2 linked regions of the Tribolium castaneum genome follow. The protein of the gene in region 1 binds, or shares a complex with, the protein of each later gene. Links are inferred from orthologs where the notes say so. Each region holds a gene or a part of one and is shown on either strand. Other genes may lie near its edges.

Region 1 (4,182 bases):
TAAAAATGACCCACTTGTTCTCCTTCTGTCGCCTCCTATTATCATCCTCGTTGAGGACTTTTTTCAACTGTAAAAACAACTGGTGTTTCTCCTCTTTCAGTTTCTGGAGCTTGCTCTCAAGCTGTGAGATCTGTTCGCGGGTTTCACCCAAAGTCATGACGTCTTGTTGCTCGCGAGCTTCGCGTTCTTTACGGAGACGTTCCTCTTCCACTTCGGCCTCCCGTTCTTGCTTTTTGCGAGCGCGCTCACGCAGAATGTGCGCTTTGAGCACCTTCCACATCTGCTCGGACCGATCCGGCTTGCTGTTGTCCACAGCGGCAGGCATTTTGCACAAATTACGAATTATTTCGTATTGTTATTTTACAGGAACTGTCAATGTCAACATGACGTTTGACACTTGTCGGCAGGATTGCCAACAATTTATTGGCCAGATTTTAACCAAAATTGGGCGAAAACTCAAATTTTTGACCCGCTTCCACATGTTTTTTTTAGTTTAAGCACTTGGGCCGAAACTCCCAACATTTTGATACGAATTTGTAGCGAAAAACGCCCGTTTCGCGTGAAAACAGAATTGGTTTAGATTGGCGATACTGTTTCATCCGCGAGGGAATTTTAAATGAAACACGATCAGTGGTAAAGTTTTTATTAAATCTAAATTAATTTCCTTTCGAATATCGCTTCCAGAACTTTTTAACATCATCATGTGCCGATTTATTGATGATTAGAGTCCGTTTTTCTTTGTTACACCAAATTAGATGGCCATTAGACTGTGCATACTCTTTCAGTATATTAAAATCAGCCTAAAACACAAATTAAAACCGCGTAACAATTTTTCTTGTAATACCTGTGATAGGAATTGGCTGTATAAAACGCCCTCTGAATACGTTAATCTGTTCCGCTCAATTTCCCACAGTTTGATTTGATCCACAACTGTCGGAGGTAGAGGATGTTTGGCCTCACCTTCCAACATTTGAGGATGTGCATGTTGTTTGAGGTACCCGATAATTTGATCGGCTGTGATTCCCCCTTTCAAAGCCTGTCTTATGGAATCACGTGTTATTACGCCCACTACAAGGTTCGGAAACCTGGGAAAAGTCCGATAGTCATAACATTTTTTTATTTATTTTGTGACCCACCTATACATCAGTTCTGTGAAAAGACCAATTAAAGCAACTTGAAGATTAGAATCCGTGTAAGCATAAACCCTGTAGTTTGTCTCTACAATTATGTAACCTTTTGGAGTGTCTTCCTCCAAAATTCGAGTTTCGGGGCCTTGGCTACACGTAATATTTAAGGCCAATCTGGTCGGGTAAAAACGGCCTGCTTTGCGCTACAAAATTAATTACATTAATCATGGGTGCTGTGGAATGTGACGTCCAGAAAAAAAAATTTGGTAACCATGGTAACGAAAACAAGACCTACTTTTCTTTGATACACTAATCCGAATTCTCTCAAGTGTTGGAGAAAAATTAAAAGGCCGGGACTCATGCCTTCAGTGCTATAATCCTACAAAAAAATGTTGCTATTAAAAAAAAACGCCAAGTGTTATGAGTTATGACATACTTTTCCAAGTGTACTAAATGAGAGTTGGAATAAAAACGTTAAACATTCAACCAGACTTAATCCTCTTTGCTCAACTGTGTCGAGATATTGGAGTAAAAAATGCCAAACTTGTGCTTGCCTATCTAAGAGTAAAAACTGGAAGCCTTGACGTGTTATAACAGGACTGCCATCTTCCTCGTCTCTACATAAATATAAATAAGATAACGAGTCAATTTTGGAGAAATTCAACCTTTTCATAAGCCCAGCGTGTAGTAAAATTCTGACAGCATCCGCAGAAATTCCCTCTTGTTGTTGCGACCCCACCATGTAATGTAACACACATTCCCACCGTTCGAGCGAATAAGCGTCCAAAAAAGACACATCTCTTGCCTTACTGTCAACTTCTAAAGCCGAAGACATGCTCCAAGGTTTGCCCCTTGGGATAAATCACGCAGTCATTGCAATAATCACACTAATTACACTCTCACCCCCCTAATAAGGCAATTTTCAAATTCTTTTTAAACGTAACTGAAAGGATCCAACCTAGGAGCCCCCCTGGAATCGCAGCCTCCTGCCATACCGACAATTCGCTCAAAACCTTACTCACATAAACGTGCTCTCTACAAATAACCCCCCTTTTCGTGTGTACAAGCGCATTTAAACACTCACTTGGAAAAGGCCTGAGCCCCCCATGACGCCACAACTGCCTGGGGCACCGGCTGTTCAACGAACAAAATTCGAATCACGTACTGGCGTGCCAGTTCTGGCAATTCTCTAAAATCGTCAATCGAAATTTGGAATTTTAAAGTGGGTTTTTACCGGTAAACGGCCAAACAAATCGTTGGATGGTTGTAGAGTTTTTCCAACGTTGCCGAAGAGCGCGTTTTTAAGTAGTCGTACAAGTTTTTACATTCTAAGTTTGTTGGTTTCAAAAAAAGCGAGCTGGGTTGCGCGGGCTCGGCGTCTGCCATTTAAACAGCCCCCTTGCAAACTTAAAATTAGGGTTAGGGTAACTACTGTCAACGCAATTGTCAGATTTAAAGCTAACCCAACTTTTCCTCCGAAGGAGTTGTTATTTAATTAACCACTCGCTTCGTCTTAATAAGTGTAGAAAAAACTTGGTTTTCGCTCTGCTTCGAAATGCCAAGTTTTTGGGCATAAAATATTTTGGCTATGTTTTTTTAATTATTCAAACGTTGGGGAATTTGGGTGGCAGGGTTGGTCAAAAATATTACGGTGACGATAGCACTTTGGAAAGAGCTAGCACCATGAAATTTCCAGCGGACCAGTCAAATCACGGATGTGCGTTTTCAGCACTTTGCGACGTTGCTACGTTTCTCACAAATTATAAGAAAATAAATTATTTACTCATTTTCTTTTAAAATTCAAGTGTATTGTTATTAAAAAAAATAAAGTAAATGCAATTTCAAACTTGTTGTATCTTTGAAAGCAATGGGGGATGTAGATAGTTTACTAGTTGACACAAAAAGGTGAAACCGCCTAATAAAGGCAAAACAAAAACGAGGAGGGCATGCTACCCAATTATTTAGGGGGCAGATTCCACCTAAATAAGATAATTATTCGTTAATTTCTTCTTCAAAAACATTATTTGAAAAAAAAAGTTAATAGAACGACATACTAATTCAAACAGAGGGTTAGATGTCTTCCCAAACTTTTAGAGGATTGAAATTTTCAAGAAAGGTAGGTATTTAATGGGCTTTCATGTGGAATGGGTTAAATGCGTCGACAAAAAGAAATAGTACTAGAAAAAAATATTTAATATTATTAATAAAATGTTGACATATTTCAAACTAAGGGTTGGATGTCTTCCCAAACTTTTAGAGGGTTGAAATTTTCAGGAAAGGTAGAGTATTTAATGGGCTTTCATGTGGAATGGGTTAAATGCGTCGACAAAAAGAAATAGTACTAAAAAAAATATTTAATATTATTAATAAAATGTTGACATATTTCAAACTAAGGGTTAGATGTCTTCTTAAACTTTTAGAGGGTTGAAATTTTCAGGAAAGGTAGAGTATTTAATGGGCTTTCATGTGGAATGGGTTAAATGCGTCGACAAAAAGAAATAGTACTAGAAAAAAATATTTAATATTATTAATAAAATGTTGACATATTTCAAACTAAGGGTTGGATGTCTTCCCAAACTTTTAGAGGGATGAAATTTTCAGGAAAGGTAGAGTATTTAATGGGCTTTCATGTGGAATGGGTTAAATGCGTCGACAAAAAGAAATAGTACTAGAAAAAAATATTTAATATTATTAATAAAATGTTGACATATTTCAAACTAAGGGTTGGATGTCTTCCCAAACTTTTAGAGGGATGAAATTTTAAGGAAAGGTAGAGTATTTAATGGGCTTTCATGTGGAATGGGTTAAATGCGTCGACAAAAAGAAATAGTACTAAAAAAATATTTAATATTATTAATAAAATGTTGACATATTTCAAACTAAGGGTTGGATGTCTTCCCAAACTTTTAGAGGGATGAAATTTTCAGGAAAGGTAGAGTATTTAATGGGCTTTCATGTGGAATGGGTTAAATGCGTCGACAAAAATGGAAAGTTAATTTTGTAAGACATAAAAAAGCCAGTTGAAGCCAGTTTTGCACTTTTATGTCAATCAAAT
Region 2 (3,143 bases), on another chromosome or scaffold:
AGACGCGTTTTGAGTGGTTTTTCTTACCGGATCGCCTGCTTGTTCGACCGTGGTGTTGGGGATATGTCTCTCAGTGGGTTTGACGGACGATTCCTGGATGGCTTTCGTCCACTCTGAGGTGTACATGTGGGCCAGCAACAAGTTGCGCATTTCGGGGTCTGAAACGTCGTCGATACTCACAGCTGGGGACATGTAAACCCTTGGTCTTGTCTTGATTACGTTTTCTTTGGCTGCATTCTCGGGAATTACCTTAATTGTATCTTTTTATTTTGTTGACTGTATTTTTGTACATACGGGGGTTTCGAAAGGTACATGGGGGTCCGTGCCTGTGATCTCTTTGCGTCTCCAAAGTAAGTTAAACGGGATGTAGACGTCGGGGCGTCGGGCCGCAAAAGTTTCATTGTCTTTAGGGACATACTCACTCGGGGGCTTGTCTTTTTTGTCCAAAAATTTTGCTTGACAATTCAAAGTGTCTTTACGAGGCTCAAGTGGGAATTTTTTGTAGTCATTCTGATAAGTGGTTTTGCTTCTAAAGATGTCCAACTTAATTCTGTCGTCGTGCTCGTTCATTTTTTCAACAGAAAGAAGGAACTGACTGTTTCAGTAATTGTAAAAAGTGACAGTTCAAACAAAACACTAATTTAAAAATTATCGGCTTTATTAACGTTATAATTAAATAGCAAGGGCATCGTTCTGTACTTCATGATTAAGCTGAGTCTGCAAATTGGACAATTTATCCTTCAGCATTGCCACCCCCATTATGACGATATTTTCGGGTTTTAGGGCTCCTGCAGCTTCCACATTGAAATAAAACTTGTTTGGTTTCAATTCCCAGTTAAAATCAGCCTCGTCTGGAACATTATGGTCAAACAAAACAACTAACAAGTAAAATATTTACATTGATCCTCATCCAGTTCGCTGTATTCGCTCTTGGGCCATTCGTCTGGCTTAGGAAAAAGCGTGTGTCTCATAGCATTATCGGGGTCGTACTCGAAGGCCACCCCCGCCGTGGGGTTCCACTTGGCGTGTTCCTTACCGAACCCCTTTTTAGCGTAAGCTTTAACCTTCAACTCTTGCCCTTTCCGCAACTTGATGATCAGAATTTCGTCAGTGTCGCCATACTCTGACGATTCATCGTCCCTGTGTTTGGAAGTGGCCGGAATAACTCTAGGATCGCTCGATTTTAAATCTGCGGTGGTAACGTGCCGCGTGTGGTCGTCAGTGCATTTCACATCAAGGGTGAATTCAACACTGCATTCATGACAAAAATCGGTGCAAATGCAGTCCTGGAAATTGCATTTTAGATGTGAAATAGATCAAATTAAACGACTAACTCTTGGGTATTGGAGACGTTGCACCACGTCGTCTGATATGAGGGGGATCAAGCCTATTCTGTGGGCCAAAAATTCGTCACTTAGGACGGTTGAGTTCGCCTCCAACTTGACCCAATCGATGGCCAAAGTTGGCGTTTCGGCGATTAGGACGCGCCTGATGCTGTTAGCCACGCTAAAAATTGGCCAGTTAGTGCCCCCTTAAAGAATTGTTGCTCACCTCAGATCGGTGTCTTCAATGTAGAATTTCACATTATCGTCGGTTAAATCGGTTATGTGGACCGAGGGCTGGTTTGCGTACGGCATATTAGAAAATTTCAATTACGAAAAGACAGGATTTGAACTTTTTTTAACACAAACACCGACAACAACACGACAGAACCTCAAAACTTATTATAAAAGGCAACTTACAGCACTGTCTTGTGTAACTGGTTGCCTGTGCCTATCAAAACTGTCAATTTTTGTGGTGTCAAGGATTTGTCAACCTCTGCAAATTTTTATTTAAAAATAAAAAACGCGAAAACAGTTTAAATATCGTGAGAAATTAACAAGTGTCCAATAATAATGACCGATAACATTCCCACAACGCCATATGTAGTTCAAATTAGTGAGGTAAGTGCTAATTGTTATTTATAAATTAGTAAGATTAAAGTATTATATTGCAACGTTATTCTAGCCCCTCGAAACCATACACTTGGCAGAACAAGTTGATAGTCAACTACAGATTGCCCAAACCGTGAGTAATCCTCACATCTTAGTTGAATCCATGGATAAGCCTCTTGAAATCATTGAAGAACCTTGCACGAGTGTTCCCCAAGAAGAACCACTGGGTTTCCAAATTATGTACCCCGAGGAACAACCATGTGTCGTCAAAATTGTGTACCCCCAAGAACTGAGTTTGATTGTGAGAACCACTTATCTCTTATTCCTTGAATTTATTTTTTTAATTAGCGAGCTCCAAATCTTGTAAAACGTGGACGCCCTAAAAAGAAGAAGCACGAAGCGCCACAAACTGATGCAAATACCGAATCAAAAACGGACAATGTCGAGGCTTCTAAAGCTTCCAGGACTCGTTCTGGTCGTCTAGTCAAGCTCCCAAAACACATAGAAAAGGTAAATTTTCAAGTGTTTTAGAAGTTAATCAGTGATGTTTCACAGGATTTCAAAAAATTTCAACCCAGTGTTAATGATCGCGAAGTACAAGTCACGGATTTTGAGAGAGTTGAGGAGAAGGAGAACAGTAAAATAGAATTTGCTCAATTACAGACCAGAAAGCGGGTGGTGAAAGCCCAGTTCAAGTGCCCCAAATGCTTCAAGGCTTATTTGGGCAAAAACAAAATGATTCAACATTTGAAAAAAAATCCCGACCATGGGCCTCTACCCGAGGGTTACCAGCAGTACAATTTCGATGTTTGGAATTATTTGTTTGACATCACCCAAAAATGCAAGGCTGGGCAAAGGGGCGTCAAGTTTTGCGAAGAATTGAGCAATTTGCTACATAACGTGCAGTTGCTAAAAAGCGCACTGTTTAAGACTGTCACAGATAACAAGAATTGTGTTCAAATTGATAAAGTTTTAGGCAATGCCATTGGCCTGGCGCCTGGGAAATATAAATTTGATGAGAATGAGTTGTATAAGGATGTCACTGTGCTTAAATTAATTACGAATAGCGATTTTTTCAAACCGAATAATGTGAATAGCACTGCTAAAAATAAAACTGTTGAGGAAGCTTATGCGGATCAGAGCGAAAATAAGAAAATCAAAACGGAAACTCCCAATTTGGATGAAAGTTTGCCACAAAGTGGTGACAGT

What was found. The genes of interacting proteins can lie anywhere in the genome.
Region 2: mrn (region 1) and Polr2C share a complex: the UniProt entries of both Homo sapiens proteins name them as parts of the TBP-based Pol II pre-initiation complex. The link is inferred for Tribolium castaneum from reciprocal best matches to the Homo sapiens genes GTF2H4 and POLR2C.

What each region holds. Positions count from the first base shown.
Region 1 is NC_087396.1:20,771,763-20,775,944, forward strand, and holds mrn (general transcription factor IIH subunit 4), read right to left. Parts: upstream 2,714-4,182; 5' UTR 2,591-2,713; intron 2,565-2,590; exon of another isoform or gene 2,534-2,564; 5' UTR 2,514-2,533; coding exon 2,362-2,513; intron 2,317-2,361; coding exon 2,212-2,316; intron 2,163-2,211; coding exon 2,031-2,162; intron 1,979-2,030; coding exon 1,793-1,978; intron 1,745-1,792; coding exon 1,564-1,744; intron 1,507-1,563; coding exon 1,423-1,506; intron 1,331-1,422; coding exon 1,137-1,330; intron 1,086-1,136; coding exon 845-1,085; intron 801-844; coding exon 657-800; 3' UTR 630-656; downstream 1-629. Other genes in the region: G protein pathway suppressor 2, read right to left, coding at 15-325. UniProt on the Homo sapiens protein: Component of the general transcription and DNA repair factor IIH (TFIIH) core complex, which is involved in general and transcription-coupled nucleotide excision repair (NER) of damaged DNA and, when complexed to CAK, in RNA transcription by RNA polymerase II.
Region 2 is NC_087398.1:8,331,868-8,335,010, forward strand, and holds Polr2C (DNA-directed RNA polymerase II subunit RPB3), read right to left. Parts: upstream 1,694-3,143; 5' UTR 1,638-1,693; coding exon 1,552-1,637; intron 1,507-1,551; coding exon 1,335-1,506; intron 1,287-1,334; coding exon 899-1,286; intron 852-898; coding exon 673-851; 3' UTR 641-672; downstream 1-640. Other genes in the region: uncharacterized protein LOC103314913, read right to left, coding at 28-249, 295-570; uncharacterized protein LOC103314918, read left to right, coding at 1,896-1,943, 2,008-2,235, 2,283-2,444, 2,490-3,143. UniProt on the Homo sapiens protein: Core component of RNA polymerase II (Pol II), a DNA-dependent RNA polymerase which synthesizes mRNA precursors and many functional non-coding RNAs using the four ribonucleoside triphosphates as substrates.